3 linked regions of the Rhinolophus ferrumequinum genome follow. The protein of the gene in region 1 interacts with the protein of each later gene in a pairwise test. Links are inferred from orthologs where the notes say so. Each region holds a gene or a part of one and is shown in the gene's direction. Other genes may lie near its edges. The genes, in order: DRAP1, NFYB and POLE3.

The links.
Region 2: the proteins of DRAP1 (region 1) and NFYB interact in binary tests that used the Homo sapiens proteins (3 or more experiments, as listed by UniProt). The two-hybrid records come from large-scale screens. The link is inferred for Rhinolophus ferrumequinum from reciprocal best matches to the Homo sapiens genes DRAP1 and NFYB.
Region 3: the proteins of DRAP1 (region 1) and POLE3 interact in binary tests that used the Homo sapiens proteins (3 or more experiments, as listed by UniProt). The two-hybrid records come from large-scale screens. The link is inferred for Rhinolophus ferrumequinum from reciprocal best matches to the Homo sapiens genes DRAP1 and POLE3.

What each region holds. Positions count from the first base shown.
Region 1 is NC_046294.1:5,916,164-5,926,875, reverse strand, and holds DRAP1 (dr1-associated corepressor), read left to right. Parts: upstream 1-6,587; 5' UTR 6,588-6,817; coding exon 6,818-6,859; intron 6,860-7,097; coding exon 7,098-7,170; intron 7,171-7,280; coding exon 7,281-7,374; intron 7,375-7,671; coding exon 7,672-7,791; intron 7,792-7,910; coding exon 7,911-8,004; intron 8,005-8,217; coding exon 8,218-8,306; intron 8,307-8,660; coding exon 8,661-8,766; 3' UTR 8,767-8,879; downstream 8,880-10,712. Other genes in the region: C11H11orf68 (UPF0696 protein C11orf68 homolog), read right to left, coding at 4,800-5,559, 6,245-6,357. UniProt on the Homo sapiens protein: The association of the DR1/DRAP1 heterodimer with TBP results in a functional repression of both activated and basal transcription of class II genes.
Region 2 is NC_046293.1:15,777,121-15,787,362, forward strand, and holds the start of NFYB (nuclear transcription factor Y subunit beta), read left to right. Parts: upstream 1-6,253; 5' UTR 6,254-6,392; intron 6,393-7,068; exon of another isoform or gene 7,069-7,506; intron 7,507-8,603; exon of another isoform or gene 8,604-8,848; intron 8,849-8,940; 5' UTR 8,941-9,010; coding exon 9,011-9,016; intron 9,017-10,242. UniProt on the Homo sapiens protein: Component of the sequence-specific heterotrimeric transcription factor (NF-Y) which specifically recognizes a 5'-CCAAT-3' box motif found in the promoters of its target genes.
Region 3 is NC_046295.1:65,273,622-65,283,610, reverse strand, and holds the start of POLE3 (DNA polymerase epsilon subunit 3), read left to right. Parts: upstream 1-5,669; 5' UTR 5,670-6,107; coding exon 6,108-6,173; intron 6,174-6,274; coding exon 6,275-6,360; intron 6,361-6,726; coding exon 6,727-6,845; intron 6,846-7,122; coding exon 7,123-7,295; 3' UTR 7,296-7,300; exon of another isoform or gene 7,301-8,667; intron 8,668-8,694; 3' UTR 8,695-9,989. UniProt on the Homo sapiens protein: Accessory component of the DNA polymerase epsilon complex. Participates in DNA repair and in chromosomal DNA replication.

The sequences.
Region 1 (10,712 bases):
GCCTGTGAATGGGATCCAGATAGGGCACAGCTTGCCTCTGTGGGGCCCTTAGCCATGCCCCATGGAGCCACAGTTCTCCCCTCCCCTCCAACACCCTGGCCCAGGGCAGAGGAAACAGGATCAGCCAGGCTCTGGGGCCTGGAGGCTGAGCTCTCAGTGTGCACGCGTGCTCCTGGGTGTGCATGTCTGAGTGTGTGTGGTGTCGGGGAGGGGGGTTGGCAGACAGGAAAGGGAGGCTCTGACTCGGGAGAAAAGGATTGGGGTTTGGAAAGGAGTCAAAGCCCTAGAGAGGAAAATTTTGGCGGGAATGCTTCGCTGCCCTCTCCTGGCCTCTGCCGGTTCAGCTGATTCTTTTTTTTTTTCCCTGTAGGAACCAGCTCTCTCCCTTTAGCCTGGGAGGAGCCAGGGCACGGAGAACTACAAGCCTGTTTTCTAAGGTTCCCAGGGGCCAGAGCTGCTCAGGGACCAGGGAGAGAGCTGCCTGCTGCAGAGGTGTTTACAAGTGCTCTTGGGAGATGTGGAGGCTACCGGAGAGTTTCTAGCCTTGACCATGGCCAAATTCCTTAACCTCTTTCTGCTGCAGTTTCCTTCTCAGTAATATGAGGGCTGTGAGGACCAAAGTGAGGACAAACTGCTTAGAGTAGAGCCTGGTGCAGAGGAGGACTGTGTATGTGGTTGTTCTTACTGAGCCTCAGTTTTTCCATCTAAAAAATGGGTGAGAAGGAGGTGCTCTTTGTCTAGCTGTCACTTTGGTTCCAGTCTCTGGTGTCATTCCCCAGAAGGTTGCCCCCTATGCCCAGCCACCCTGCCTGACTCTGTCCCTCTGTCCAGCCTGGAGGGGGTTTTCGTGCCCTGCTGGGAGGCCAGTCATCAAGGAAAGACGGGGGTGGTGGGTTTCTGGGCTGGGTGCCCTCAAGTTACCCCTCAATGTCCTGGGGAATGCATGTCAGAGAAGTGGGGAGTTTCCCTTCTGCGATGAATCAGCTGTGTGACCCAAGTCTCATCCCTGCCAGGGCCCCTCCCAGCAGGCGGCAGTGGGGCGCAGTTGCCCTGCTGGGAAAATCCCCAAAACCTAGCCAAAGCTCTGGCTGAAGCTTTCTCCTGACTCAGCTGTTTCCTGTCCACCCCAATTCAGCACCTACCCACAGCTGGAATCCAGAGTCAGGCAGAGATGATCCCCATTTTCTGGTCTGCCCCTTTGGGAGCCTCCTCTCTGGGGCTCGGGGGTTCGCAATGCGATGAATGTGAGTACCTCCTTTCCCTGGCCTCAGCCATCCTTCCCATAGTTTTATAAAAGGGAGCAGAACACAGGGGCTTGTCCAAATTGTCCCAGCCTAGTTCACCCTGGACCAGGCCATTTCCTTACTCCCGTGTAGGAAGGGGTCAGCCAAATAAGGCAGAGTGCCCTGGCAGGCTGAGGGGGTGGGTCTTGGGGAGTCCTGGGCCTGGCAGGGGAGCAATCCCATGATAGGCCTGTAAGATCCTTCCTGTCCAAGTAGGCTTAGTCAGTGTACTCTCTGGGACTCAGTTTCTCTACCAGTAAAATGGTAATCTTAGTCTTGGCCCAGCCTCTCTCCCAGGGGGTTCTGAGGACCCAACCTGCGTACTTTACAGACTCCAGAGGGGTTGGCCAGAGAATGGGGAACGTCTCTGCGTCTCTGCCAGACTCTGGATTTCAGCTGGGTCCTTGCTGGCTCTTTGTTATCTTTGCAGCCCCTGCACCCCAACAGCGCTTTCTTATAGTGGGGACTCAACAATACATCAGGTGCTCTGGAGTTGGATGACCTGGATTCAAATCTTGGCTCTGCCACTTATGGCTTTATAACCTTGAACTAATTACTGAACCTCTCTGGTCCTCAGTATTCTCTTCTGCAAAATGGCAACTATAATAGAGCCAGATGAGGCTTAGAGGAGGTAACACACATGAACACTTAGCACAGTGCCTGGCTCATGTGATGAATAGAATGAGGAAACAGTCACAGAGACAGAGAGTAACTTTTAATCAATCCCTCATTTATTCAATAATGTTGATTTGGCCCTTATGCTAGGCCAAGGTCCTATGCTGGACGCTGAGGGATAAAGCGCAGCCACTGTCCTTGAGGGGCCCAGACACTCAGATGAGAGCCACAGGTGGGTGGGTTTTATGGGAGCCTGGGGTGCACATGGTTGGGGAGGAGAAACCTCCAAGAAAATGAGCCAGTGGATGGTGGGTCTGAGACGTGGAGTCAGCCAGGAAAGCAGGCAAGTGTCACATACACCAAGCAGAGGACAACATAAGCAAAGGCACAAAAGTGAGAAAGGCCAGACTGTGTGCAAGAAAACCACAGGCGGCTCTTGATTCTGAAACAAGGGTGAAGCAGGGAACGGAGGAGAAGGGGCCGGAAGGGCTGGCAGGGGCTGGATTTGAGCTGTTCACGCTTTCATTCATTTAATAATTTATGGAGAGATTACTCTAGCCGAGTACTGTGCTAGGCTCTGGGAATAGGGCTGAGATTCAGACATTGCTCCTGCTTTCACTGTGCCCTGAGTCTGGGTATGTGGCTTATGGGCCCACGAGAGATAGACGTCAATCAAGTGATCACATAAGCCACCTGTCCTCCTTGCTGCACGAGGTGTTTAAGCCGTAGGAACAGCCTGAAGCTCAGGGCTGTGTGCCAGGGGCTGAAAGAAGTGCCAGTTAGCTCCAGTGGGGTGAGCATGGGCAGAAAGGGGTGCTTGAGGGAAGCTGGGGCAGTTGGTCATGGCCGGCCCAGGAGAGTGGACTGTGTACTGCAGGCTGTGGGAGCCACAGAAGGGCTTCCAGTAGGAGGGACACAGGCAGCTCTGCGGGAGAGCTGGCTGTGGGGGCAAGAGGGAGAAGTGGGAGGGGAACAGGGCAGAGGAGGCAAGTTGTAGCGCTTCGCAAGAGAGTGAAGAACGGCTAAAGCAGGGCCATGAGGCTGGAGAAGGGGTGTGTGAAATGCTCAGTTATGGAAGGAGAACCAGGTGGTGTTGACAGGACCTGGGCATCTTTGTGGGACCCCTGAGGGCCTGGCCAGGATCTCCCCAAGCCTTGGCCCATTCTGGCCAACTGCAAAGCACTGACAGTCTGAGGGAGGCAGAGCACCAGGATCCAACTTGCAGACCACCCAGCTCTGGGGACTTCCCAGGGCTGGGCTGAAGGGGGACTGAGCCCTGGGGAAGCTTGGGGTGGGGGCTGAGCGAGCATCTCATGACTCACCCACTTCCACCCAGTCAGCCCAGTGGCATCTCCGCTCCCCTGCTCCAAATTCCAATTTGGTGAGGCTGCTTGAGGCTGAGTCAGCTCCGGCACGGCACGAGCAGCATCCCAAGGGGCTTCCTGCCAGACACCCTGGCCCAAAACCAGGCATGGGGTTGGGAGGGTGCAGAGTCAGGCTCTGATGGAGGCTCCAGCAGCCTAAGTTGAGGGGGGTGGCCCAGAGAGATCACGTGGGTGGGTTGTGAAGGCTCACTGTGGGTGAGGCCAGGGACCACACTCTGCCTGAGGAGGCAGGGACCAGGGTAAGTCCTAGCTCTGCTCAGCTCACTGCATGACGCTGAGGGAACTCCCTTCCCCTCGGCCCGTTTCCTTGAGCACAGAATGGGACCAACGTGTCCTTCTCAACAGGTTGTGAGAGTTAAGTAATGCATACGGGAGTGCTTTGCAAACTGTCCAGTGGGCCCTGTGATGGCCAGGATGGTGGAGAGGTGAGTATAGCCAGCTGGGATTCCACGGTTACTTATGGTTGTGCAGATTGTTTGCTGCACAAGGATGTCCACCCTACGTTGCTGAAATCCAGCCCATCTGCTCACTCACCAGACCATGCATGTGCTTTGACATAGGAACTGCCAGGACCAAGAGGATACCTTTCTCTTATAAGCACAAATACACCCTGTGGGTTAGTAGTGGCCCCTTGGACTTTGCTGGGCCAAACCCCTGGATTTATGGGAAATCACTGAGAAGATGATTCTGATTCTTGGGATGAAGGCGAAGCAGTGCTGGCTTTGCAGAGGCTCTCAAGAGAGATTCCCAGCCTTGGCAGTAAGGTGTATCTTATTACTGGGGGCAGTTAGGAGGGCCCAGTCAGGGCGGAGAGGCAGTCTCTCCTGGCCCTGCCTCTCTCCAGCAACCAAAGCAGGTAACCAACAACATGGTATTTTAAAAAACACTCAACACACAGACCCAAGCTGGGTTTTATTGAAATGCCAGGAGCAGGCACATGGCAAGATAGTGAAGGGAAGGTAGTGCAGGCTGTGAGGTGGCAGGGAGGAGCAGACACCATGTTCATGGCCCTGGCATCCCCTCTTTCTGCCAGGGGCTGAGTGGCCCCCCCTACCCTCCCCCCAAAAAAAAGGCATGCTCAGGCCTGCAGGGCCTCTGCCCCCCGGGCTGTGAAGGCTCCAAGGAGAGGGACTGGAAGCACTAAGTTTTCTCTTTTGTGAGGAAGAGGAGAATGCAGGAGGAGGGGGAGGTACAGCCAGGGATAAGGGTGGCCAAGGCAGGCTCTCTCCTGGGTGTCTGTACCCAGCCTATGGTCCTGGATGGCAGAGCAGAGCAGCATCGAAGAGAGAGGCTGAGGGTCCGGTCCTAAGAGAGCCAGAACCTCCAGCAGGTGGGGACTTGACTCAGCCCTGAACAGAGGGCAAAAGTTCAAGGGGATCGAAGATGCAAGCAGTTCCCGAGTGACCTAGTCTTAGAGCTGTGGGACATGGCCTCCTTGGGACGAGGAGGAGGAGAAAGACGGGAGGATCCATCCCTAGCAGGGGGTACAGAGGGTGGTCTCCCCAACTTGGCCCCACTAGGTCAGTTCCACATTGTTGGCACGGTCCAGCACACGGGAGCCACGAGCATTGCCCCCCAGCTGGAAACGGCTCTCATAGAGAGTGGGGCAGAGATGCCAGCGGTTGGCCCGGTAGATGCCCAGGTAGGTGTAGACATCAGGCTTGTAGGTGAGCAGGCACTTAATGCCTGCTGCACGGATGGCTGCATCTGCCTCCAGCACACCCAAGCGGTCCGTGAAGTCGTCTGTATAAACACAGATGACCTGGCGCCCACCCTCCCTGGCCCGTGGGCTCACCTTGGCCACCTGAAGCCGGCCCTCGACCACAGCCCGAGCAATGCCAGCCCAGGCATGGTCCAGCTTGAAGCCAGGTGCCAGGTGCATCAGCCACTTTCCCGAGAGCACGTGGTGGGTGATGGCCAGCTGGCGCAGGGTACCTGGCGTGACGGGCCGCCCGCTGGTCTGCAGGGCTTCCCAGGCTGCCTGCAGGCCCTGCACATCACCCGAGTTGGGGATGTAGCCCTGCCCATACGCTGCAATCCAGCCCACGGGCTCAGAGTTGGGTGAGCTAGGGTCCCCGTAGCGAGTAACTTGGGATGGCGGGTACTTGGCCAACCAGGCATCTAGCTCAGAGGCAGGTGTGGTGCGGGCGTCAAACACCAACCAGGGGTCCATGTCAGCTGCCATGGCCTCTGCAGCCAGATGCTCAGCAGTGAAGCCATCCTCACGGCCACCTGGAGAGTCCTCCTCCTCCAGCTCCTCACCTGACTCCATCCTGCTGTGAGGGAAACAAAGTTCGTGACAGATTTGCAGCTTGCTGGGCCCTAGCGGGTGCCAAGCATTAGACTAAACTGTGTGGCCTTGGTCAGGATTTAAAGTCCTCGTGCCTCAGTTGCCTCATCTTAACAATGATAACAACTGTTCCTGGCTCAATGCGCTGTTGACAATTAAATGCCTGAGGTGGAATAAGCACGACTGAGTGTTATTGCTCATGTTATTTCTACTCTTCCTGACTTACAGACAAGAAACAAGCTCAGAGAGAAGGGACTCACCCAAGGTCACACCTATAGTGAGCGACAGGGCCTAATTGTAAATTCAAGTGTGGGTGCAACTGACCCAGCTACACCTCCTGGCCCTGCCAGTGACTGGCAGGTATCCTGGGCGCTGGCATTTAATGCAGGGAAGCGCAGGAGCCCCCGTTCGCTCAGCACCGAGGCAGGCCCTGCAGGGCAAGTCCTCCCAGGCGGGCGTTATCTGGCCCACTTAAAAAATAAGGACACTGAGGACCAGAGAAGGCAGTGACGGGTCCGAGGCCAATGGGGCGGTGCCCGGACTCGAACCCCGGCTTGTTAGAACCAGCGGGAGGGCCAGCCTCTGGCCCCGCCGCGCCCGCCGCCATTAGCGCCCATCGCAAGAGCTTGGCTCCCGCCCGACTCTGCCCCCTCCCGCCGCCCCGCCGTCACCTTCGGCCTTCGCTGCGTTCGGCACCGACCCAGCCCCGCGCCTGGCTCCGCTCCTGCCGGGGCTCCGCGCCGCCGCGCCCCGCCCCCGCCACGGCTGCCGCCGCCGCCGCCATCTTAGCGCCCCGCCGCCTCAACAACAACTTTATAGATAGACAAGCGCGGCACGGGGCGGGGCCCCCGAGCCAGAGCAGCCGCGCCGCGGGGCGGGGCCGGCCACTGAGGGGGCGGGACTTGGGCGGGGCTGACCCCAGGGGCGAGGCCATCAAGAAACCCAGGAGGGGCGGGCCTGCGGCGGGGCGGGGCTAACGTTCGCTCTTCTGGCCTGGGGGCGGGCGGGAGTGGCGGTCGGGTCCCGGACCGACGCGCACAGCCCAGGAGGTTCCGAGGGGCGGGCACTCGGACCCTGCGAGAGGCTGCCTACCGGCGGCGCTAGGACCCCGTGGGGAGCGGCGGGGGCGGAGCGGGCGGCACCAGGACCCGGGGGAACCTCGACGGGCGGGTGGCGAGCAGGCCCCGGGGCCGGGAGGCTGCAGGCGGCGGCGCTGGGCCCGGCGCGGCGAGAGAGTCCCGGAGATGCCGAGCAAGAAAAAGAAGTACAACGCGCGGTTCCCGCCGGTGAGCATGTGGCTGGGCCCGGCAGGAGAGGGCCCAGCTCCCGGGAGGCTCGGGCCCAGGCCTGCCTGGGGGGCGGGCGCATCGCCGTGCCCCGGGACCCGGACGCCCCGCCCCCTTCTGTGCCCTCCTTGCGTTGTTGCCCCCCGCCCCCTTTCTCCCGGGATACCCCTCTCGCTCTCCCCAGTACCCCATTCTGGGACTGAGGCGACGGGGTCCGACCTCTCTGCCTCCTCCCCAGGCGCGGATCAAGAAGATCATGCAGACGGACGAAGAGATTGGGAAGGTGGCGGCGGCTGTGCCTGTCATCATCTGTATCCTGTCGGGGGCTGGCCGGGTTGAGGGACGTGGGGGAAGGAGGCAGCCGGGGGTCGCCTTGTGAGGGCTGGGACCCCACTCCCGCGTTCTCCTTGACGACTCTGAGCCCGGGCGCTTGAGCTCTTCCTGGAGTCGCTGTTGAAGAAGGCCTGCCAGGTGACCCAGTCCCGAAACGCCAAGACCATGACCACATCCCACCTGTGAGTGGCTGCGAGCTGGAAGAGCCCAGTGGGGCCCTGTCCCAGGCGTTCACACACTTAAGAGAGCCTATGTCCTGATGGGGAGGTGGGAGGCTACTGGGAGACCAGCAAGGCCTTAGAGACTGGTGGTTCGAACTTGGAGAGGAAAGGCTGGGTGTTCCAGCAAAGGGAGGAAGTCGGGTGGTAGAGGTTTTCCAGACTCCATTCTCCTAATATCCAGAGCTTCTTGCTGACCCTTGCTGAGAGAGCAGACATCTGGGGCCCTGCCAGATGCCATCCCCGCCTCACCTCTTTCAGGAAGCAGTGCATCGAGCTGGAGCAGCAGTTTGACTTCTTAAAGGACCTGGTGGCATCTGTGCCTGACATGCAGGGGGATGGGGAAGACAACCACATGGACGGGGACAAGGGTGCCCGCAGGTGGGGAGTTAGGGCCGAGTGTCCAGGCTGGAAGGCCAAGGCCACCAGGGATGGAGGGGGTTGGGGGGTGGCGAAGGAGCAGGGACACCTCTGAGCAGATGGATTATACCTTCCCAAAGGGGCCGGAAGCCAGGCAGCAGCAGCCGGAAGAATGGTGGGATGGGAAACAAAGGCAAGGACAAGAAGCTGTCAGGGACGGACTCTGAGCAGGAGGTGAGTGAAGCCCCCAGCCCTCTGTCCTGCCTCTTCGAGCCGGCTGGAGGCCTGGGCCCACCCTCACCTGTGACTTCACTGTACCCTGATTTCTTTGTTTTCAAATTGGGGTGATGGAGGTCAGCATCCTGTCCCTGCCACTCCGAGAGGTCTGGGGTTTCAGTGATGGTCCCATGCCTTTCTTGTCACCCCTGACCCCTGCCTTGCTCCCAGGATGAGTCTGAAGACAGTGACACTGATGGGGAAGAGGAGACAGCGCAGGCTCCACCCCAGGCCAGCCACCCCCCTTCCCACTTTCAGAGGTAAGCAGCTCAGTGGCTCCAGGAGGGGGCCAGCAGACTCCCCAAGGCTGACTTGTCCTTCCTGGTCACTTGCTTCTGTTGTTTGTGGCAGATTTGGGGGATGGGAAGGGAAGAACTGAGGAGGGCTTAAAGACAGGAGACTGTACTCTCAGAAAGTCCCTTCCCCACAGTGGATGGGGCCTGGGCAGGGCCTTTGTGACCTGCTCGGGCCCTTCCCTTCTCTGGGCTTGGCTCCCATTTGGTACAGAGGGTGGGGGGCTCCATGCTGTCTGTGTGGAGGGCGGAGTGGGGCTCAGGGGGTCGGAATGGGCCCGGAGAGTGACCTGATTGCCCCTCCTGCTTTCTGCCCTGCAGCCCCCCAACACCTTTCATGCCCTTCACCTCGACTCTGCCTCTGCCCCCAGCACCTCCGGTTCCCTCCGCACCTGACGCAGAGGATGAAGAAGATTATGACTCCTAGCGCCCTCTGCCCCCCAGGCCACACCCCCTTTTAGTTGGTTTTAGTTGTTCTGGGGGGAGGAGAGAAGGTAGAGCTGTTCTTAAATTTATTAAAAAAATAATAACAAAAGGGAACATCAGTGTCTGTCCCAGCCTCTGTCTAGGGCTTTGTGGCGGCCTTCCCACCATTCCACCTGAATTCCTCACACTGAGCTGGGGCAGGAGCAGGGGTGGGCCGGGCAGCTGCTGAGTGAAAGGAGGGGCTGGAGGCCACGGGTGTGCCAGCGCAGGACCAGGGGTGCTGAGAGAAGGAAGGTGGACAGAGTGGTGTAGGACCTGAGCCAGCAGGTGCCGCTGTGCTGGGGGACAACCTATCTCATTGTGCTGTGTGACCCTGGACAGGTTCCTACTGTTCTCTGAACAGCCTCTTGTCCTCTGACGGAGACCTTTTTGTCCACTGGGGGCTGCAACTAAGGGACAGACAGGACGAGTAATAGGAACTGGAGAGCTCTGAGCCTGGTGCCATGAAGGGTAGAGGAAGGGGCAGCAGGAGCAGAGGTAGGTGGGATGGTTGTGGAGAGTCTCGAAGGCCAGCTTGTGATCGGGGCAGTGACACAGTTCGTCAGTCCATGGCCATTTCTGAGCGGACCCTGAAGCTGCAGTGTCCACGGAGGCAGACGTGTGCTTCAGGGAGCAGTGGCTTGAGGCTGGGCAGGAGGCATGGAAAGCAGTGGGTCAACTTGAGTGCTGATGGTTGACTGGACAGGGCAGAGAGGGAGGGAACCCTCAAGGGCTCTCAGGTTTCTTTCTGCAGCAGCTCGGGCAGGGGCCTTTTCCAGCTGGGGGACATGAGGTAGAGCGGGAGTAGGCCTGAAGATGACAAGTTTGACTGTGATGAATTTGGGGTGCCTGTGAGGACGCTGAGGAGAGGTGTGGAGTGGACACTTGGACACGGGCCTAGAGACAGATGTGTGAACTTTGAGAGTAGGTGACTTCACCTCGGGAGAGAGGGGCAGCCCATCAGAGGAGACTGAAGAGCAGCCAGACCCAGAACCCCCAGGAGCCACTGGATGTGCCCACCCAGGGGGCTCTGGGAGAAGGGACAGGCCAGTTGTCACACACCAGGACACATTGCAGGCTTTAGGGAAGCCTTCCGCACAGCTGCCTCAGAGGCTTGCTGGTTGTTGATGAGGCAGGGAGAGCTGGAGGTGAGAAACTGAGGTGAGCTGAAGCAACACCGCTCAGAGCTGTGAAGTGGAGAGGGAGCAGTAGCTCAGTGAGGAGCAGGGAGTTTCTGTTTTTGTGTTTTAAGAGGGCAGATGCAAGCTTGTAGTGAGGGAGGGGATGTGGGATAGGAGGGGAGAGAATGGAGTGAGGTGGGGGGTGCCCAAGGCAAACCCAACCTGGTGAGGGAGAGGGCGGTGAGGAGGTTTAGGTGGGAGGACTGCAGAATTCAATTTTCACCCAAGATATCTGACTTCTGTGAATTAGGAGGCTGCTGGCAGGTGTGGAAGGGCCCAGGGCAGCTGGAGCTGGGGCATGTGGGTCCTGTCTGCCTCTCGTGTGCTCCCCCTCTGGATATAGTACCTCTGCCTTCTTTTGGGGAATCACCTTTTCTGTACTCCACCTGCAGTGTGTGCAGCAGACCCCACTTCCTGGGGTGGAGGGATGGGAACATCACCAGCCTGGCCAATCACATCACCCACCACACTCGCTCTGGCCCCAGTGAGTGGTACAGGCCGGTCATGACCACTGGGACTTTAGATGGGACCAGTGGGAAGGGGTTTTGACATGATCGCTGGCTTCCCCGTGGCTGGGAGAGCAGCAGGGAACCCTCTGAGGAGTCCAGGTGAGGGTGATGGCGGCCATGCTAGTGTAGCAAAGCTGGCGGAATGTCAGCCGGGTGCTGCTGGAAGCTGCTTCCAACCCTGAGGGGCAATTCTGACTGAGAACAAAGCCAGCACAGTA
Region 2 (10,242 bases), on another chromosome or scaffold:
TCCATCCATCTATATATTTTGCAGTGAAGCATCCATTTTATTTTGAATTACATACAGGAGACATGGCATCATAATCTTTTCGTTCAGAGCCACTAAAACTCCTCAGGGGCTGTCCTGGTCCCAGAGGTGGGACAGAGTTCTGTGGCCTCCCATTTCCTCCCCTTCAGGTACCTTGCCGAGCAGTTTCTTCCCCTCCAGGGCTCAGCCTGCCTCATCACATCTCCCTCAGAGGACCTTTCCCTAGAGTCCCTATTGGTATTAAATTTTACAACCCTTTTATTCCTTCCCCAGGCACCTCTAATCCACAATGATGATGGGTGTTACAGATCACATTGCGTATAAATTACTCCCATAGCTGGGTAAACCAGGTAACCTTTAAAGATGGCATGATTCCACTGTAATAAAAAAATATTAATAACTATTACACTTCTTGTATTCACAGTCATTCTTAATTTTGATTTCTTTTTCAGTCATCCCCTTCTCAGTAATTATAACAACAACAATAATGACTAATGACTGTTGGCCATTTTTGAATTTGCCATGCTCTCTTCTCAGTTCTTTATTCTAACTCATGCCTCCCAACAACCCTAAGAGTTAGGTTGTTATCTCCAAAATGGATGAGGAAAAGCATCACTTTGCAGGTAAAGAGATTAGGACATGCAGACATTATGTGTAGCCTGTGAACCCAAGGTCACTCAGCTGGTAGTTGATAGTACCAGGATTTTATACTAAGCAATCCAGCTCTAGAGCCTGTCCCACCTTCCACTCAAGTTACCCAAGCCAACCACCCAAGAATAAACCCTATTTATTCACTATTCCTTTTTTGGCACTAAAATGTTCTACCTCTAAAATGTATTGCCAACCTATCCACAACCTTCCATCTCTCTATTTTTAACACTGCCACCATAGCAGAAACCACCATGGAGCTCATCAAGAAATGAGTTTTACTAGAGCAGGGACTTGATCTTGTTCCCCACTTTCCCCCCAGGGCTGGCTGACCTGTTGTAGATATTCAATAAAAATGGACTGAATAAATGATTTTCTAACTGAAATCAACAAGCATGCATTGAGCCCCTATTCTGTTTTTCAGAGAAAACTGCTGACTTTCAACATATTTACTTGCAGGTTTTCTCTGTTAGTATTCATATAAATATAAACTTACAAAATCGGGGTTGCATTATATATCTTTGTGCCGTTTGTTATATTCTCAACATTGTATTCTGAACATCATCCCATATTATTAAAAATTCTTTAAAAAATTTAATTGCAGCATAATATTTTATTTTGTGACATACTTTATTTAAACATTTCAAATTGTTAGACAATTAGGTTGTATTAGTTATCTATTGCTGTGTAACAAATTACTCTAAAACTCTGGCTTAAAACAAGAAACATTTCTTATCTCGCAGTTTCTGTGGGGTAAGAATCTGGGAGTGACTTTGGCTCAGGGCTTGGTTCTCGAGGCTGCAACCAAGCTACCAGGTGGACTGCTGTCATCTCAAGGTTCAAGTAGGGGGAAAGACCCACTTCCAAATTTACTTGGCTGTTGGCAGAATTTGGTTCCTTGCTGGCTTTTGGCTGGAGACATGTTTTCATTCTCTCTCTCTCCCTCTCTTTCTCTCCATATTTATACACATACTTAAAGACACACCTATATCTATATCTATTTACACATCTATCTATCTATCTATCTATCTATCTATCTATCTATCTATCTATCTATATATCTATCTATCATCTATCCATCTAATCTGTCATCTATCCATCCATCAAAAAGTTACCAAGACAGCATTCACAGTCTCTTTGTAATCTAGTGTTACCTGCTGTACTCTATTCATTAGAAGCAAGTCAATAAGTCCAGCCTACACTCCAAAAGAGAGGATTATACAAAGGTGTGATTATACCATGAGGTGGGGATCATTTGGGGGACAGTTTAGAGTCTGCCTACCACATAGCTCTTCCCAAAATTTTTCTACTATTAATAGTAACAGTGCTCTTCTGAATACCTTATTGCCTAATTATCTTATTAGCTACATTACAAATGATCTCCTTATAATATATTTATTGACTAGAAGAATAAGACATTGTAAAGGCTGCTAACGCACGCTGACTAATTGCTTTCTAGAAAGCTTCCCATCATCAGTGTATGGGAATGTCCATCTCAACACATCTTCATCATTGTAACATTTTTTGCTTATTTGATAGGTTTCTCCTTTTGATTTGCACTTGTATTTTGTTTATTAGCCATTTGTATTTTTTCCTTTTATGAATTTTCTATTTTATGTTCTTTGCTTATTTTTCTATTCGAGATTTAGTGTTATCAATTTGTGTGTCCTTCCATACAAAGATATTAACAATGGGTAGGATTTTTTGGTAACAATTTTATTGGGATATCATTTACATATCATACTATTCACCCATTTAGCGCATATGATTCAATGCTTTTTAGTATATTAATTCATCTAATCCATGGAGAAATACTGCTGAATGATTTGAATATTTTGATTAACACGTTATAATAACTTGAGGAATTTTAAATATGTTCATTAACTCTGTTTCTCTGGAGAAAGATAACTCATAAGGCTTTGGTAATTTCATGGTCATTTACATTATCAATTAAAATATAGTTTTTTTCCAATGCTTGCTCATACATTCATTCCACGCATGCATATCTATGGAGCTCCTACTATGTGCCAACTACTGTTCCAGGCACTGAGAATACAGTGGTGAAAACAAGGTCTTTGTACTCAAGGAGTTTATATTCTAATAAGGTGAAATATTAAAAATCCATTCATTCAACAAATATTTATTGAGTACCTACTCTGTGCTTGGGATGCACTAGTGAGCAAAACAAGCAAAAATTCTTGTCCTGATAGAGTAACTTCTAGTGGGAAAAGACAAACAATAAGCCATGAACAAAATAAGAGGAAAGTCTATAGTTTGTTAGAAGGTGGTAAGTGTTATTGAAAAATAAAATAAAGCAGTTAAAGGAGAGTGGGGGTAGTTAGTTGAAATTGCAATTTTTACATAAGGGATCAGGGTTGGCTTCATTAAGAAATGGAAGGAGATGCGAGAGTGAACTGTGAGGACACTGAGGGATGAAAAATCTGTTCCATTGGCAGGTGGAACAGCCAAAGCAAAGGCTCTGATGCAGGAGTGTTCCTGCCAGAAATAAGGACAAAAAGGAGTGGACTGAGCAAAGGAGAAACTAGGAGGAGATAAAGTTAGAGGGGAAGGAGAGAGGGGACAGATCATAGATCTCATGAGGTCACCATTCATCTCTAAAAGGAAACAAAAAGTACTGAATATATTTCTTGCTAAGCAAAGGACATCTGCATTGTAAGGTAGAATATCTCTGAACAAAGAAATCTGTGGTCTTACATAGTGTTTTGGGAACACTATGAGGTTCAGGGAGTAGCACTTTTAGAAGCTGGATGGTTTAGGGATGAGCTGACAGATAGCTAAGGAAGCAAGATTACTGGGGTGTAGCTATTGCTGATTGGCTAATTTCCAAAACAAGGGGCTGTCCCTGATTGGGAGGTTGTCATTGATTGATTAATTAACATACATTCTGGTGATTACTTGTACTGTGGCCAAAGAACAACTAGACTTTTTCTTCTACTTTGAAGGATCACATGCTGGCTGCTATGTAGGCCAGGGTGGAAGCAGAGACACAAGTTAGGAGGTAAAAGGAGATGTGGCTTGAACCACGGTGGTAGAAGTGGGGGGTAATAAGAAGTGTTCTCATTTGGAATATGTTTATAGTCAACAAATAAACAAGATAATCCAATTAAGCTAAGTGTATTGGAGTGAACATAATATTTACCTTCACATAGGATGATACGACTGGATGACATTCTAGAGAGTAATGAGGTGAGGCTACTTTAGGAGTCAGAGAAAGGCTCTTTGAAGAGGTGAGACCTCAAAGATGAAAAGAGGCCAGTTAAGAGCTTACAGCAAGAACTTGGTGTGTGTGTGTGTTTGTAGCAGAGTCAACATGAGTCTGTCTAGAAGGTGGGGGGTGGGGGTGCGGAGAGAGGCAACCTAAAGCCCAGATCCTTCCAGGCCTTTACTGCATAGAATGGATTGAGAAGAAAGGGGGCAAGAGTCAAATCAGGAAGTTGGAAACAGGGACAATACTATAATAGACACTGTCATCACGGGACTATGAGGCCTCATTAAAGCAATAATGTAAAATCCAGCTAAGTCTTCATTGTGCCCAAGATTCTGGTTTTTTTGTTTGCCGAATTATGACTCATGTAATTGGTGGTATAAACTAAGGGATAGCTGTAGTGTAGGGACTGGGAATAAAGAAAGACCCCTCTCCTCTGTCCTCTGACTTTAATGCAGGATCTAGATTAGCTATAATGTCTTTCCCAAGACTAAGTTGTGATCCACATCTCTCTTACCACGTGAGCAGGAAAAATGGTTAACATTTATTGAGGCTTTCTGAATACAGGTATAAAAGGACAGGTTGTCCTTGGGATTCAACTGCAGAGAGGTTGTGGACTAGGTCCCCGTCACCTAGAATTAGCAACCGAGGGTAAAGTGAGTGCTTTGTTCACCTTTACAGCCTGGGGCTCCTCACACAAGTGCTTGGTAAACAGTAGGAGCTGAATAATCTTTTGTTGAATCTGAATTAAGCATGTAGGTTAGATCAACAGTACTGAAATAACATATTAACTCAGAAAACAGTCATCTTTGCATCGTTTGGTTCACTATCCAGTGTGTGGATTAGTCATACTTCTCGCAATTCCGCTACTGCCTTTTTTTTTTTTTTTGTATTTCCTGCTTTTGAGCACATCATTTCAGTCCTAAAACTCCACTTTATAGGTAATCATGGAGAAAGGGAGAAGTGAAATGCAGGCCAATTTTACTCCTGTTTTTTTTTTTTTAAAGCAAATAAGTTTTTAAAAGTTTGATGAAGATTAAAAATCATGTCCTATAAAGATCTTTAGTAATAAGCCAACTTTTCTTTAGTGCTTTCTATGTGTATTATGTGTATTGACTTTATGTTAATTCCAAACAAGCCTAAGAAGTAGCTAGTATTACCTCCCTTACGGAGGTAAGGAAACTATCAGGAAGAGGTAAAGCAATTTGGCCAGGATCACAAGTTGGCAAGAAGAGCTGGAATTCCAAACAGGTCGTCTGATTCCACAGTGGCACGCTGCTCCGTACTACTCTTGGAATAATTTGGAGACTTCATTTGTCTTTGCTTCCTTCATTGCTCCAGAAAAGTTAAAATATGTGGAGAAACAGTAGGAGCCCTATAAATAAAACACGTCTATATATTTTTAAATGATTAAAGCTAGAAGGATGAACGTGGCACCAGCCCACTTGTTTAGTGGAAGTAAAGGAGATTCCCGGCTCCCTTTGCAGAAATCCTGCCGCTCTTTGCAGCGAGTGGCTTCTGGCTCATTGCCCATCTATGATGGTCTCAGCCCAGGGAAGTAAGTCCCACCCAGACTGCAGTCCGGGAAAGTCAGTGAAGGAGCTTGGCTGCACCGAAGCAAGAACGGGCCACGGATTCCTGCAGCCTAAATGTCATCTGGTTGGGAAAAGCTACATGTCAGGTTGCAACTACTATGGAGGTGGCAGGAAATGCAACATTTTAAGTTCGGGGTGAAGGATGGCTCGACTGACGAACTTGTTAAACCTGAGGGAGAGGATTGTATCTTTAGATGAAATCCGAAAAAGCGAACACCGGAGCTCAGTAACCAAGTCAGAGGGAGCGTTGTGCATTTGGCAAAGTTAACAGCGGACGCAAGGAAAACACGAGGTGCTGAAGGCGTTCCAGGAGCTAACTGCCTTTCAAATCCACCCAGTAGCTCGGGTGTCGTCCTGGCTGGCGGCTTCTGCCCTTGGTTTCCCCTTCTTAAAAAATCGAGGCGCAGGCAAGCTGCACTCAGGCGGGTGAGACACTTCCACGTGGGGACGGCGGGGGCCTTAAAGAGAGGAAGACCTGAGAAATCACGCTTCGCAGAGGCCTGGGGAAAGACCGTGGGAAGAAAGCCCGCGGAGTCCTTAGCAGTGCGCCGGCTCCTGGCCCTTGGAAGAAGCACCGGCTCAGCAAACAGGCCGCTGCCACCCAAAACCTGCCGCGCGTGGCCCACAGCCCGCTCTGCAGGATAGCGCAGGGGTGGCCGCAGGGCTCCCGGGCCTCGGGCGGGGCCTCAGCGGGGGCGGGGCGGGGGGCGGAGCCGCGGCCGGCGGGAGGGCGCGCGGCAGGCGCGGAGGGAGGGTGTCGAGCCGAGGGAAGCGGCCCGCGGCGGAGGGAGGGGAGGCCGAGTGCTGGAAGCGGAGCTCCGCGCTGGGACTGGTTCCTTCGCAGCCATTTTCTGTCCAACCAAACAGCCGATTGGAGACGGGAGCCAACCAGGGCTGCATTGGAGGTTTGTGTCTCGCTTCGGCCAATGATCGCTCCTAAACCGACTCCACTTTAGCTCGAATGAAATGTCCGTCTCCTGCCGGCGCCGTCCCCGCCGCCAACGCCGCGGCGGCCGGGGGCACTCGCCTCCCTCCCGCCCGCCCTCCCGCCCAGGTCGGGGCCGGGGCCGGTTCGGCGTCTGCGAGGCCGCTCCCGCTGCGGGCCCGGCCGGGAAGCGGGCGCGGGGCCGCGGTGCGGCTCTTTGTGCGCGGGGCCGAGGAGCGGCGGGACGCTGGCCAGGCCGCCTCCCGCTCGTCGCCGCTGAGCTCCGGGCCGGAGGCCGAGAAAGGGGCGCCGGGGCTCCGTCGGGCCCCCCTCTCGGCGGCGCCCGGACCAGCTCCATTTTGCGTGGGGGCCTGCCGGGGGGGGCGGGGGACGCAGCTCCAGCCCCCGATCCCGACCCTGTTCCTTCGGCCTGGCAGCGGAGCGGGGGTCCCTGGGGAGTGCCCCCCTTCCGCCCGCGGGGGCATGGCGGGGCCGGGCCGCTTTGTCTGTCCCGGCAACCCTGGCACCGCCCGGCGGGCGGGCGGTAGGCGTTGGGCGCGGGCCCGGGGCCTGGGCCAGGCGTGTTGGGGGGATGCGCGCCAGGGGCGTCCGCCGGGCACAGGCGGGACTGACAGATCGGCGGGGCAGTGGGGCTGGGGCCAGCTCGCGCACCTTCGTGGGGAGGTAGCGAGGTCCCTGGGAGGAAGGAGTGGATTTGGTCTCCCCGCAGTCTGGTTTACACGTAAAGAATGCAACCATCTGGCGGCTTGCGGTCCCTGGACTTGCCCCGAAGGTGGGAAGGAAGCCTTTCGGATTGGACTAAGGTTTAATCTTGGATGGGAGGCGGGGAGGATATTCCGGGCCTTAGGAGCAGTAGTCTGAGAGAACAAAGAATTACAGAGCACCCACAAGTCGTGATCTCCCCCAAAGTACTGTAACAAGATAAATTTAAACAAGCTCAGGTAGCATACGACCTTTAAAAAAACAGCATCCCACTATCCGTCATGGGCTTCTCAATTCCGTGGTTCATGCTACGAATCACGGGTGGTTTGGGCTCTCAGTATGCAAACTGATCAGCAACCTAAAGTGATAAGGTAAACCAAACAATATAAGTGACATTAATAAATAGGGGTTTTATTTGTAAAGTATTGAAAGTTTCATCAGAATTCCTTAAAAGGCAATTATTGTTTCTCCCCACTGCTCTTGTAGCTTAATTTAAGGATTATTATTGATGCAAAACTCTGGTGGGGAAGAATGGAAGGTGGAGGAAGGGTCCGCTGCATTTCTTGGATACAAATTTGCATTTCTTGAAACCTTAAACAGATGTATGGGTTCCCTTGAGCTTTCTCACATGTATCATAACCTGCCTTTAAGAAAATATATACCATATGAGATGGTAGTGTTTTTCTCTAATATACTGAATCTAAATAAATACTCAACTGTTTGGGTGAGTGTGGTGAGGTGTGACTCTTCCCCTCCCCCAAGCAAAATACATAATATATACAGCTCTTATAAGTATTCTGAGGAATTTGTTTTTTCAAAGACATGCTTAACAAATAACACGGCTATAGGGAAGGAATTTGGGGGTTGGAGGACAATATTTGAAAAGAAATTAGAAATTGCTTTTACGATCATAGCAGGCAATGTCAGCCTGCCTTTGCTGCCTCCACCCTTGAAGTGGCTTTTTAAAAATTCAAATCAGTGGCTACAATTTTTCTGCTGTTTCCTAGATTTCATGCTGGAATGCACGTGTAGTTTTTCTTTCCTTAAAATTAACACTGAAAGGATGCTTTTTGACATCCCCCCCCTTAATTGTTTCACTTGAAAAAAAGGAAAAGAGCAAATGAGAAATGGAGATTGTAATTGATACCAATTTATTCAGCTATGTACAGTGAGAATGAAGAGCTAATGAATGTAGTTTTAGTCCAAAATGGTGGTGCTTTAAAATTATAAATAGAGGTCTTAATTGATTGTGTTTGTTCTATATATGTTCTTCATGGTTATGGGGCAGCATGGTTATCTTCTTCCCAGTATAATCTGAGATATTCAATGTAAAAGCATTACATTCCGAGGTAAATTTTTCTCTTTTGAGGTTTTGGACCCCTGAATTGCACTCTAAAACATTAATAAAACCATTCCCCCCAAATTCAGTTGGTAAGTGGGGTGTTTGTGCCTTGGGTGTTAATATTTTAAGTAATATAGATGTGTAATTTTTGGTCTCTTGCATATTATATAATTTGATGTGTTGTGATGAATATTTATGGGGAGCATGACTAACTTCAGGGTTATGTTGGAAAAGCCATTCCCCCACCCTCCGCAATGGAGTCAACTTTTAGAGTTCAGTTCTCCAAAATGAATCTTCCAATTCAACACACATTTATTGGGTGCCTGCTTTTTTGCACCATTTTATACCACGCACCCCATTGAATAAGAATAGTAGGTAAAATTATGTGTGCCTTTAAAATTTTTACTAGGAAGAAAGCCTGTAGGCTGTACATTTTTACTACTAATAGATGTTTATCTTCTAGGTTGAAATTGGGCAACGATTAGACACCATTTTAGACAGGTGTTCTTGAACGCCACTGACAACAGTATTTCATGACAGTAAGTATGTTTTACCATTTTTGGTTGTTAATTATATTTGCACAGTAACTAGCTGGAAACAAAATTATAACTGAGTTATGTTGGAGATTCCTGATAGAATGACTGCCTTTCAAGTCTAGACAGATGGTACCTATGCTCATTCCTAAAGCTTCCTTCTTTTTAGTGACTTGCATGTAGTATTTCCTAAGGGCCCCTAAGTGCTGGCAAAGCTACAGGGTAAAGCTTATCCCAGCTCTTAAGAGGCTTTCTGTTTATCTGGTAAGACTTTAGTCGAATTAAAAGAGGACAGTTATATGAAGAATGGAAAATGATGGTTCTAAGGATAGTAGTACACGTGAAAAGCAGAGGTGTGGAAGGCCGGGGTAGTTGGGAATGTCTTGGACGGAGCCTGTAGGCCTCCAGCTGAACCGTGAAGGATGATGCCATTTGAATAGGTAGAAGGTGCGGCCAAATGTAAAAGCCTGAAGGCAGGGACGAGTGACTTATGCTCAGAGGATGGGAAGTAGATCTTCATGGTCCAAGTGGGGATTTCATAGGATAATCGAGTGAACAGATACCACTCGGCCCCTCTGGATGCTCAGCTCTAGATCTGCTACTGTGATGTCAGGGCTGTCACAGCTTCCTTGAGCCCTGTTGCCTCACTGCTAAAATAAAAACTGCACCTGGTGATCCATAAGTAAGGCACATAGTGGCACTAAGATTTTATTACACTTAAGATAGAGTTGAAAACAAGATTCGGTAGGTTAAGTGGGGGATCCACTCTTGTACAGCCATGAAGACTTGGTCGCATTTGAAGACTTCTAGAACCATTATAGGTGTAACAGCTGTAGATGTTTTAGTAAGATTACTCTTAAAACAGTATGTTCTCAGGTAAGTTGGGTAGTAATGCAGTGGAAATAGAAAAGGAAGGGCATATCCGAAAGATATTTTAAAAGAGGTAACAGATTAGGTAGATCTTGGAGGAGATGGAAGAACGTAAGATGACACTGGTATAATTAGCCTGGAAGAGTGGAAGGATGGTTTTATTAATAGGATGGCCATAGTTGAAAAGGAGATCAAGGAGCTCACATCCATTGCCTCGTTGGAGGGGATGGAGAAGGTGAGTTTCATTTTCCAGTATCTTCCAGTATCTTCCGGCAATGATAGGATATCAGACATGTTCTACAAGCATACCTTATTGAGTGGCCAGCAGGATATGGTTATAGACTTAGGATTTATGAGCGTAG
Region 3 (9,989 bases), on another chromosome or scaffold:
TTTTTCCTGGAACAGCTCCCAAACAGACACTGCATATTGCAAACACTTTAAAACTATTTGTTGCATCAAACTTAATTCACGCCTATGTCTCTCTCTCTCTCCAACTACCGATAATTACATCACATCAATAGAATTGTAAGTCCCTTCGATGCAGATGTTCAAAAACATGTTAAATAAACAAAATGTGGTATATGCAAAGGAATATTTCTCAGCCTTAAAAGTAGTGAAATTCTGATACCGGCTACAACATAGATCAACCTTGCAGACATTATGGTAGGTGAAATAAGCCAGACACAAAAGGACAAATATTGTACGATTCCACTTAGATGAGGTACCTAAACCAGGCAAATTCACAGACAGAAAATATAATAGAAATTATCAGGAGCTCGAGGGAGGAGGGAAGGAGGAGCTATTGTTTAATGGGTACAGAGTCTCTGTTTGAGATGATGAAAAAGTTCTAGAAATGGATAATGGTGATGGTTGCACACTGTGAATGTACTTAATGTCACTAAAGTGTACACTTAGAAATGGTTAAAATTGTAAATTTTATGTTATGTATATTTACCACAATAAAATAATATTGTCCCCTTACATTTTTATATCGCTTGCTATTTTATTTATTAAAAAAAAAAAAAAACATGTTAAGGGGCAGCTGGATGGCTCAGTTGGTTACAGCGCGAGCTCTGAACAAAAGGGTTGCCGGTTTGATTCCCACATGGGCCAGTGAGCTGTGCCCTCCACAACTAGATTGAAGACAACGAGCTGCCACTGAGCTTCTGGAGGGGCGGCCGGATGGCTCAGTTGGTTAGAGCAAGAGCTCTCAACAACAAGGTTGCCGGTTCAATACCCGCATGGGATGGTGGTCTGCGCCCCCTGCAACTAGGATTGAAAACAGCAACTGGACTTGGAGCTGAGCTGCGCCCTCCACAACTACATTGAAGGACAACGGCTTGGTGCTGATGGGCCCTGGAGAAACACACTGTTCCCCAATATTCCCCAATAAAATTTATAACAACAAAAAAAACACGTTAAATGTATAAATGAATGACTATCGCAAAGAAGCATAAGATAGAGACCCAACTCTTTAGCCTGATTTATGAAGCCCTACATGATTTAGGCCCCTGCTTTTTCTTTCCTTTTTTTTTTTTTTTTTGAGGCCCCTGCTTTTTACTCCAGCTCCTCCAGCCTCATCTCTGACCACTCTCCAATTCCTGGTCCATGTTCCAAACACACTGAACTATCATGTTTCCCCGCAAACAAGACCGGATCTTATACTAAGGTTTGCTCCAAAAGACGCATTAGGGCTTATGTGCAGGGGATGTCATCCTGAAAATTCATGCTAGGGCTTCTTTTCCGGTTAGGTCTTATTTTCGGGGAAACACGATGTGTTTCTGACACCTAAAGAATTTCCTCTTGCCTCCTGGATCTTGCATGTGCTAGTTCTGTAGTCTAGAAGTCTCTTCCTTTCTACCTCCCACCTGCAACCCCTTCTTCACTAAACTGCTCTAATGCCAGGTGTAGGCATAGATGCCACCTATATGGAAGACAGTGCCCTGGGTGCCTCCACACACCTGGGCAGGCACTCTTCTCACCACACTCATTACAATGAACGATTCTTTACTTCCCCGACTAGGCTGAAAGCCCCTTGAGGGTAAAGGCTGTTATCTTGTTTACCACTGTCTCTCCAGTGGAGAGCAAAGTGGCCCCCACTAGGACATATCTGGTAATTCAATGAGTGACTAAAAAATGATGCCATGGGGCCGGCCTGGTGGCTCAGGCGGTTAGAGCTCCATGCTCCTAACTCCGAAGGCTGCCGGTTCGATTCCCATATGGGCCAGGGGGCTCTCAACCACAAAGTTGCCGGTTCAATTCCTCGAGTCCCGCAAAGGATAGTGGGCTCCGCCCCCTGCAACTAAGATTGAACACAGAACCTTGAGCTGAGCTGCCTCCCGGATGGCTCAGTTGGTTGGAGCGCATCCTCTCAACCACAAGGTGGCTGGTTCGACTCCTGGAAGGGATGGTGGGCTGCGCCCCCTGCAACTAGAAAACGGCAACTGGACCTGGAGCTGAGCTGCACCCTCCACAACTAAGACTGAAAGGACAACAACTTGAAGCTGAACGGCATCCTCCACAACTAAGATTGAAAGGACAACAACTTGACTTGGAAAAAAGGCCTGGAAGTACACACTGTTCCCCAATAAAGTCCTGTTCCCCTTCCCCAATAAAATCTTAAAAAAAAAAAATGATGCCATGGTCTTTACCTTCAGAGACCCTGACTGGGAAAAACCACTACTTTCCCAGGGCTCACCTCAAGTCCTAGAGAAACTGAAAGTAGTCCTACCCTCTCCTATACTCTTTAGCCTAAGAGAAATCATCCAGGGATTCCTTAAATCGAACAGGAAACAAGAAATCTCTACAAGGGCCACCACTAGTGCTTTGATTCCAGACAACAAGGTCTTCATATTTTAAAAGTCTAAGTTTTCCACAGATATCTTAGTTTCATATATCAGAAAACACCAACTGGGTGACTACATTCAAAAGGGAGATTCAAAAGGAAAAGCCATTGCTTCTGACTTCAGGAATTTACAAACAGTTTCATACCTAAAAATAAAAGAAAGACAGCATGCATAGACAGTTTTCTGATGACCTATAGAAGTTGATGAGATAAATATTCCCTGATATGGGCTGAATTGTGTCTGCAAAGTCATTTGCTGATGTCCTAACCCCCTGTACTTCAGATTTTGACTGTATTTGGAGGTAATTAAGGTAAAATGAAGTGCTACAGGTGGGCCTTCATCCAGTATGACTGATGTACATGGAAGAAGAGAAGATTAGGACATGGGCACACACAAAGGGAAGACCATGTTAAGACATAAAGAGAAGATGGCCACCTACAAGCCAAGGAGGGCTCAGACGAAAACAGCTCTGCCAACACCTTAATCTTGGATTTGTAGCCTCCAGAATTTTGACAAAATTAATTTCTGTTGTTTAAGATACCCAGTCTGTGGTACTTTGTTAAGGTAACAAAGCAAACTAATACACCTCCCATTTTAACCAATTCCTAGAACACAAATAAGAATGCTTTCTTTTAGTTTCCAATTGCTTATTTACCACTTCTTTAACTGAATCGATGCTTTATTTTTAATCCAGCTTTCTCAAAGTCTACTACGTGTATAAAGGAAGTCAACCCCAAATTTTGAGATAATAGGCCCTTAAAAGACGATTCCATGATAATTTACCTGCCTTGAAATTTGGAGTCCAGTTTTGACCTCTGAGACAATAAAGAGTGAGGCTTAGTGAAGGTAAATTCTGATAAATGATGATGAGCATGTCTCTTGGCCGGAAAGCAGGAATCTGAGATGTTTACAATGGTGAGCACTGGGAGTTTGTCTGAGAAAGCAGACCAGAAGAAAACATGTAACATGCCAAAAAGGAACCAAATGGAAACAGTTCAAAGATCTTGTAAGGAAAGAGACAAGGGTTGGCTAATTCACCATTAGCATCCAGAGGAGCTCTGCAGGGTGAGCCCAGGATTCGAGGGTGGCCCCTCTCAATTCGGCGGATAGTTGCCCAGCATTGTGGATGCTGACAAACAGCCAAGTTACAGGTGGTTTCATCCCACTGGCTCTCATCTGGCAAGTCCATAGTTATGAATGGTTTAGGACACAAGCCAACCTTGCAGCTTTTTAGCCCTCTGGAGAGACAGTAACCACATAATTAGGGAGTATTATATACTAGCCATGCAGTCCAGATTTTAATTTGGACTCAAAAGTATAAAATATTTCTATTGAGTCCATATAGGCAAATGGTGGTCACAAAATAATTAAGAATAGGGTAACAAGCAAGTATGAAAACATCTCAGCATGAAGTAGAGTGTCAAGAGTTTGGGAGCAGACTGACTTTAGAAGGTCTCCTAATTCACCATTTAAAAGATTCGTTAGTCTGAGCCTCCGTTTCCTCATCTGCAAAATGAGAATAAGCCTATTTCACAGGGTCATTACAAAAAATTAGTTAATGGATATTAAAAGGTCCGGTATACAGTTCAGAATGAATATCAGCATCCTTTCCTTTTCCCCTTCATTAATCACGAAGGAAATGATACCATCTCCAAAAAGCCTTATCAAATCACAACTAATGTAGTCACAGAAGTGCTTTTACATGGCTCAAAACTTTGAAAGCCATAGGCTTCACTTTTCAAATGCTCCAATTTTCATACAGGCAGCTACCCACCGGAAATTAATAGGTTTGCTCAAACAGCAAATCAGTAGACAGACTTGCAGTTGCATCAGAGGCCATTGGCTTTTCATTTACTGTCTGTAGGGTCTTGGACAAGTGACTTAACCTCTTAGCCTGTTTCCTCATATCGAGGACAAGAAATCCCTAAGCAGGATTGTAGAAGGATTAAATGAGATCATGTACTTTTAATGTGTGACAATATAATAGGTGCTCAATAAATACAATCATCTTTCTCTCTCTAAAAATGTTTTAGGCAATCATTACCACCTGGTCCCTAACAACTTTTTAAGGACAGTGTCCATTTGTACTTTCTTTTATCCAAGATGTTTATTATTGACTACCAAATATGTGAGGGAACCTGTATAAGCATGGAAAACAATAAAAACAAAATAAGTCTCTGTTCTAAAGAGCTTATAATTTAGACCAAAGGTAGCAAAATATTGGTCTGGGATTGCACCTGGTCTGTGTCTTGTTTCATTTAGTCTTCACTTTGGGCCATTATTTCCATTTTAAAATGGAAATAATCCATACTGTCCAGATTTCTGGCTCCTTTTAGCAATCAAAATATCTGACAACACAGGGGGGCCCAATTCCAACTAGACAGCAATTGACTGAAGCTGAGCATCTCCTGACAGCTTTAAACCAGGTCTGTCCCATCAAAGTGGAGAGTTTTCCCACCAGACCCTACAGTTTCTAACCGAAGCAGTTTCAGTTGCCATTTATCCTCAAATTCCTGTTGCTTTTCTCATAATAGGGAAATATTTCTCTATACTCATCAAAAGCAGGAAAACGAAAGGGTGACTTGGGATCTCTTTCAAGAAAAAAAAGCATTAGTACTCAGTTAGGAGTGAGGACAATTTCTACATACATAACATGAAAATGATACAACTTAAAAAGCCACTGTAAAGCTGTGGTAATGTTTTTGACTGGGAAAGATGTTTTATGAACAATTTAATCAACTAAAAAACCACAATTTTAACAGGGTTTGTTTTTGAATAGGAATGTGATGTTGCCGGCTGCTTATCGACCTTTCCTTACCTGACCAGCCCGAATTGGCAATGCCCCAAGGTCTGGTCATGCCCACCTTTATGTTGCCAGCATTGCCTCTGCGCTGGCTAAATAGATTGCCTTCAAAAATTCTAGGTAGCAGTTATCCTTAATACTATTACCACCAAGTTGGGAGGGGTGTAATGATTAAGGATGGACATCAGCTCCGCTAAGAGTTGAAAAAGAGACTCCCCGCTTCGTTCCGGAAAAAGGGAGGGGAGAATTCGGCCTCGGAGGGTCGCGGTTCCGCGGAGTCAAAGCAGATGCCACACCGCTGGGAGGCCGAAGCCCACTGGGAAAACCTTGCTCCTCGCGGGGCCGGGATGAGGTCTGTGAGCCCCGCCCACCAGGCCCCGCCTCCCGCCCCAAGGGGCCCCGCTCCGCCCGCACCGTCCTCGCCTCCGTCTCCCGAGCTAGCCGGCAGGCTGCGCTGTCGCTAGGCAGCGGCGCACGGTACCCTGCGGAAGGGACGGAAGCCCCAGTGAGCCCGACTTAATTTGGTGAAAAAGCTCCACACGTGGTGGTGGGTGAAGCGGACAAACGAGCTTGGGAAGGGACGCCGAGTGTCAGTGGGGCCAGACGGAAGCCCCGGCGGACCGAAACCATCGGGGCGTGGAACGTTCGGCCGCGCCAGCGACTTGAGGCGGAAGCGCGGCTGCTGGAGGAGGGAGGCTATCGCGCGCGGGGCCGTATGGGACACGATGTGGGCAACGTGGGGCGGGACGGAAGCCTCGTTGGGTCAGACCGTGGCGACGCGGGAAGTCTGGACGCCGTAGCTGCCTAAAGAGGAGGCCTGAGAAGGAGGGCCGGTCCCAGTGGCGGCAATGGCGGAAAGGCCCGAGGACCTCAACCTGCCCAATGCCGTCATCACCAGGATCATCAAGGAGGCGGTGAGCAGCTGGACTGACGGTTGGGCCAGGGGCGGACGGACGGGCAATGGGGGAGACAGGTCCTGGGCCCGTAGCTTTGCTCACCCCCGCTCTTCTCGCAGCTCCCGGATGGTGTCAACATCTCCAAGGAGGCCCGGAGCGCCATCTCCCGCGCCGCCAGCGTCTTCGTGCTCTACGCCACATCCTGGTGAGGCGGGCAGAGCTAGCCAGACCTTAGCTGTGACATAAGGGACTGTGACATAAGGGAAGCGCAAAGAGACTCCCTGCGCCCGAGTTTGTGGCTTTTAGCCCACAAACCCCAATTACTATCCTACCTCAGTGGAGGGAGGTTCACAGCCTTCATCCACTTTTTGCAGGATCTGAAGCAAATAAAACAAAAAATAACTTCGCTTTAACTTTCTTGTACAGGGAAAAGGGAGTTACCATGTCACAAAAATCCGTGCATCTAAGACATGGGCTTTCCCATTCCACCCCTGGGTGCTCCTTTTTCTATCTGATCCATAAGTGGCAAGGGCGAGTCTGGTGACCCTTAATATTTCTCTTCTTGTTTCAGTGCCAACAACTTCGCCATGAAAGGGAAACGCAAGACACTGAATGCCAGTGATGTGCTCTCAGCCATGGAAGAGATGGAGTTCCAGCGGTTCATTACCCCGTTAAAAGAAGCTCTGGAAGGTAATGACCATTTTATTTTCTCAGTCAAATAGATAGATGTTCATTCCGTGTGACCTTCTCACCTGGTCCTAAGTCTTTCTGGCTTGGATCCCTTGAGTCCAGTAAGCAAGTATTGGGTGTGACTCAGAACCATTTCAGTTGGACCATCTCAGGTCTTATCATTCTAGCAGGTAATTTTTCCGTCTGGGCCTCAGCTTTTCCAGTTATACACAGGCGTTAACTGCTGCCATCTGTGTGGTTCAGCCTTGCCTCCTAACTCCCTCCTTCCTCCTTACAGCATATAGGAGGGAGCAGAAAGGCAAGAAGGAAGCTTCGGAGCAAAAGAAGAAGGACAAAGACAAAAAAACAGATTCAGAAGAACCAGACAAGAGTAGGGATGAGGATAATGACGAAGATGAGGAAAGACTGGAAGAAGAAGAACAGAATGAAGAGGAGGAAGTGGACAACTGACCAGGGTGAGGAGACTGTGGCACCTTGGAAGGTACCACTCAGGAATGTGCTGTATGTTTATATGAAGCTTTTTCCTACTGGGCAGAGCACTCTTAGGCAGCAGAGCCTGAGACCATCGAAATGAAAACTGGCTCGAATTACCAAACCGGCACTTCCCAGACTCAGAACATCTGAGTAGCAGAATCCTGTTTTGCTTAATTGGCCTGAAGGTTATGACTTTTTGGCAAGAGGGATCCTGAACGGATAATTTCATCAATCAATTTGATCTCTCTTGTTTATTTTTATATGTGATTAGGCAGGTTTTGATTCTCAGTTCCTTCCATGCTTACCCCACCAAAAATAACAACTTCCATGCCATGTGCTGTGTTCCAAATCACAGAGGCAGCCAAAGGCTCAGGAAAAATTGAGGCTTAGATCATGGTCAGCCTGCTTGTACAGTATCTGACAACACTAGCTATTACAAGTGGTCAGAAAGGCTTAGCTTTGGGAAACTGCTGAAAGGCTATGGGAGAACAATGGAATCTGTGATCTTTACTTGACTGTCAACATTCATTGGATTTTGGTTTTTACAGACCCACTTGGCTTGGGGCCCTTCTGTATTGCCTGCAAACATTTGACCTGTTGGTGTGCTGCACTCTGGGAAAATATGCTTTTAAATCAGCATTGTAGAGTGGAATTAGTCAAGCAAGTGTGCCAATGTCTAACTCTTAAAAAAACAAATGGTTGGTCTTAGATGCACCTCACTGCCTTCCACTGTACAATGTTAGGATTTATTGTGACCCAGAAGGTAAAAATCCCAGGTTTTTCTCTTACAGGCCATCTCCCAGACTTAGGACTATGGCTTTTCATTCTTCCAGTTCGTGACAAGTTCCAAGCTTTATTTCTTCTAGGCACAGCTTTCTCCTGTGCTTCTCACTTCCTGTCTCTCTCCTTCCTTTCCTTTGCTCCCCATTCCCGTTATCTCCCTTCTTTTCTCACTTCTGTCAGTCCAGAAACTTGAGTAATCTGCTTTATATCCCAAAGTACAGGTTCCTCTGATTTCTTAGGTCCAATTTCATGTCTTTTAAAAATGATTTTGTAAACCTCCTGAATCTTCAGGGAAATCCGATGGTGCTCGAGAATCTAACCCCCCACCCCCATTGCCAAACCATCCCCTTTAACTATTTGTAAAATATCTCTATTGACCTTTCTTCATTTTTTTTTCTCTTTCCATTTAGTGCTTCAAGCACTTTTTTGTCTCTAAGAAGGTTGACAGGTGTAGTTTGACACTTAATTTGTGAAATGAATACAGTGAAAAGTTGATAAATGAGTGAAGAATGTTGAGAAAATTGCAGTGCTTTGTACAAATAAAAAACATTCTTGTTAAAAGTGATGACTACTCTTTCATGCTTCTTCGTAGTATGCTTTGGGGGAAGACCCACTGATCACGCCCTGTACAGTTTTTGGACTGTGGACTGGGCCAGACCTTGCTAATTATGGGATCCTGCATCACCTTGGATGACCGGCAGGGCTGCTGTTTCCCAGGCAAGGGAGGCTCTGTCCCTCAACCACAGCGAGAGAGCTTTCCATGGCTCTGCAGGGCACCCTGGACATACTAGATGTTCAACAACTCCAAACATTTATTGAGTTCCTGCTATGTGTCTGGCACTCTTCCAAATGCTTTCAAGTATTAACTCTTAAACCCTATGAAGGCTCACTGCTGTTATCGTCATGATCCCAACTCTAATGCTGTATTACCTCTCTAACCTACATAGACTTCTCAAATCATGGATTTATAAATAACATTCCTCAAATATAAACCCCAACAGTCATTAGATCCAGTGGCCTTTTCCTTCTCCACGGCAGAAACATTTCTTAATTCCTATGAGCACCACTCCTAAGCCCTCAAGTCCCATCTGGACTCCTGTGGCTTCCTTTGAGCTCAGTTTCCTGCCTCATCTCAACTTCCCCTATGTACTGCTTGCCAAGTGGCTCTTCCTGGAACATTTCTGTTACAGTCCCACACTGTTTCCTATTAAATCCATACTTAACCCTGTTATTCAAAGCCTGCTTAAAGAGGGCTCGCCTTACCATCTGTTCTAATCTGCTTCTACTCCAACATAAAGCTGTAGTCAAGAATGAATTCCCAAAAGAACTCCCTTTCCACGTGGCTTTGGTTCTTACCAAACTTTGACTACCTAAGAAAAGTCACGTTTGCTGAAAGTAAGGACTGTGACTTAAAACTACAGAATTTAAGAACTGGGAAGAATGCGGTCATCCCTCAGTTTTTCTCACCTCTATCATTCCTGTAGTGGTATCTGGATTTTGAACATTCCTTATTAGACTAAGGTAATGTTTCTCATCATTTTTAACCATAGCCCTTGATGCCTCGAGTTTCTGAACTGGATTTGGAGGATTAGGAGGGTCACCATCGTTAGCCATGCAAAATTGCTTTTGCAGCCTAATCTATTTTTGCCAATGGGAAACAGGCTTTTTAATTTTTATTTTGGAACAATTATATTTATAGAAAAGTTGTAGAGTGTTCCCATATAACCATTACCCAACTTCCCCTCATGTTTACATCTTACATAACCATGGCACATTTCTCAAAACTAAGAAAAAACTATTAATTAAATTGGCCAAACTTGTATTTCACCAGTTTTTCTACTAACATTTTTTTCTGTTCCAGAATCCAACCCAGGATACCACATCACA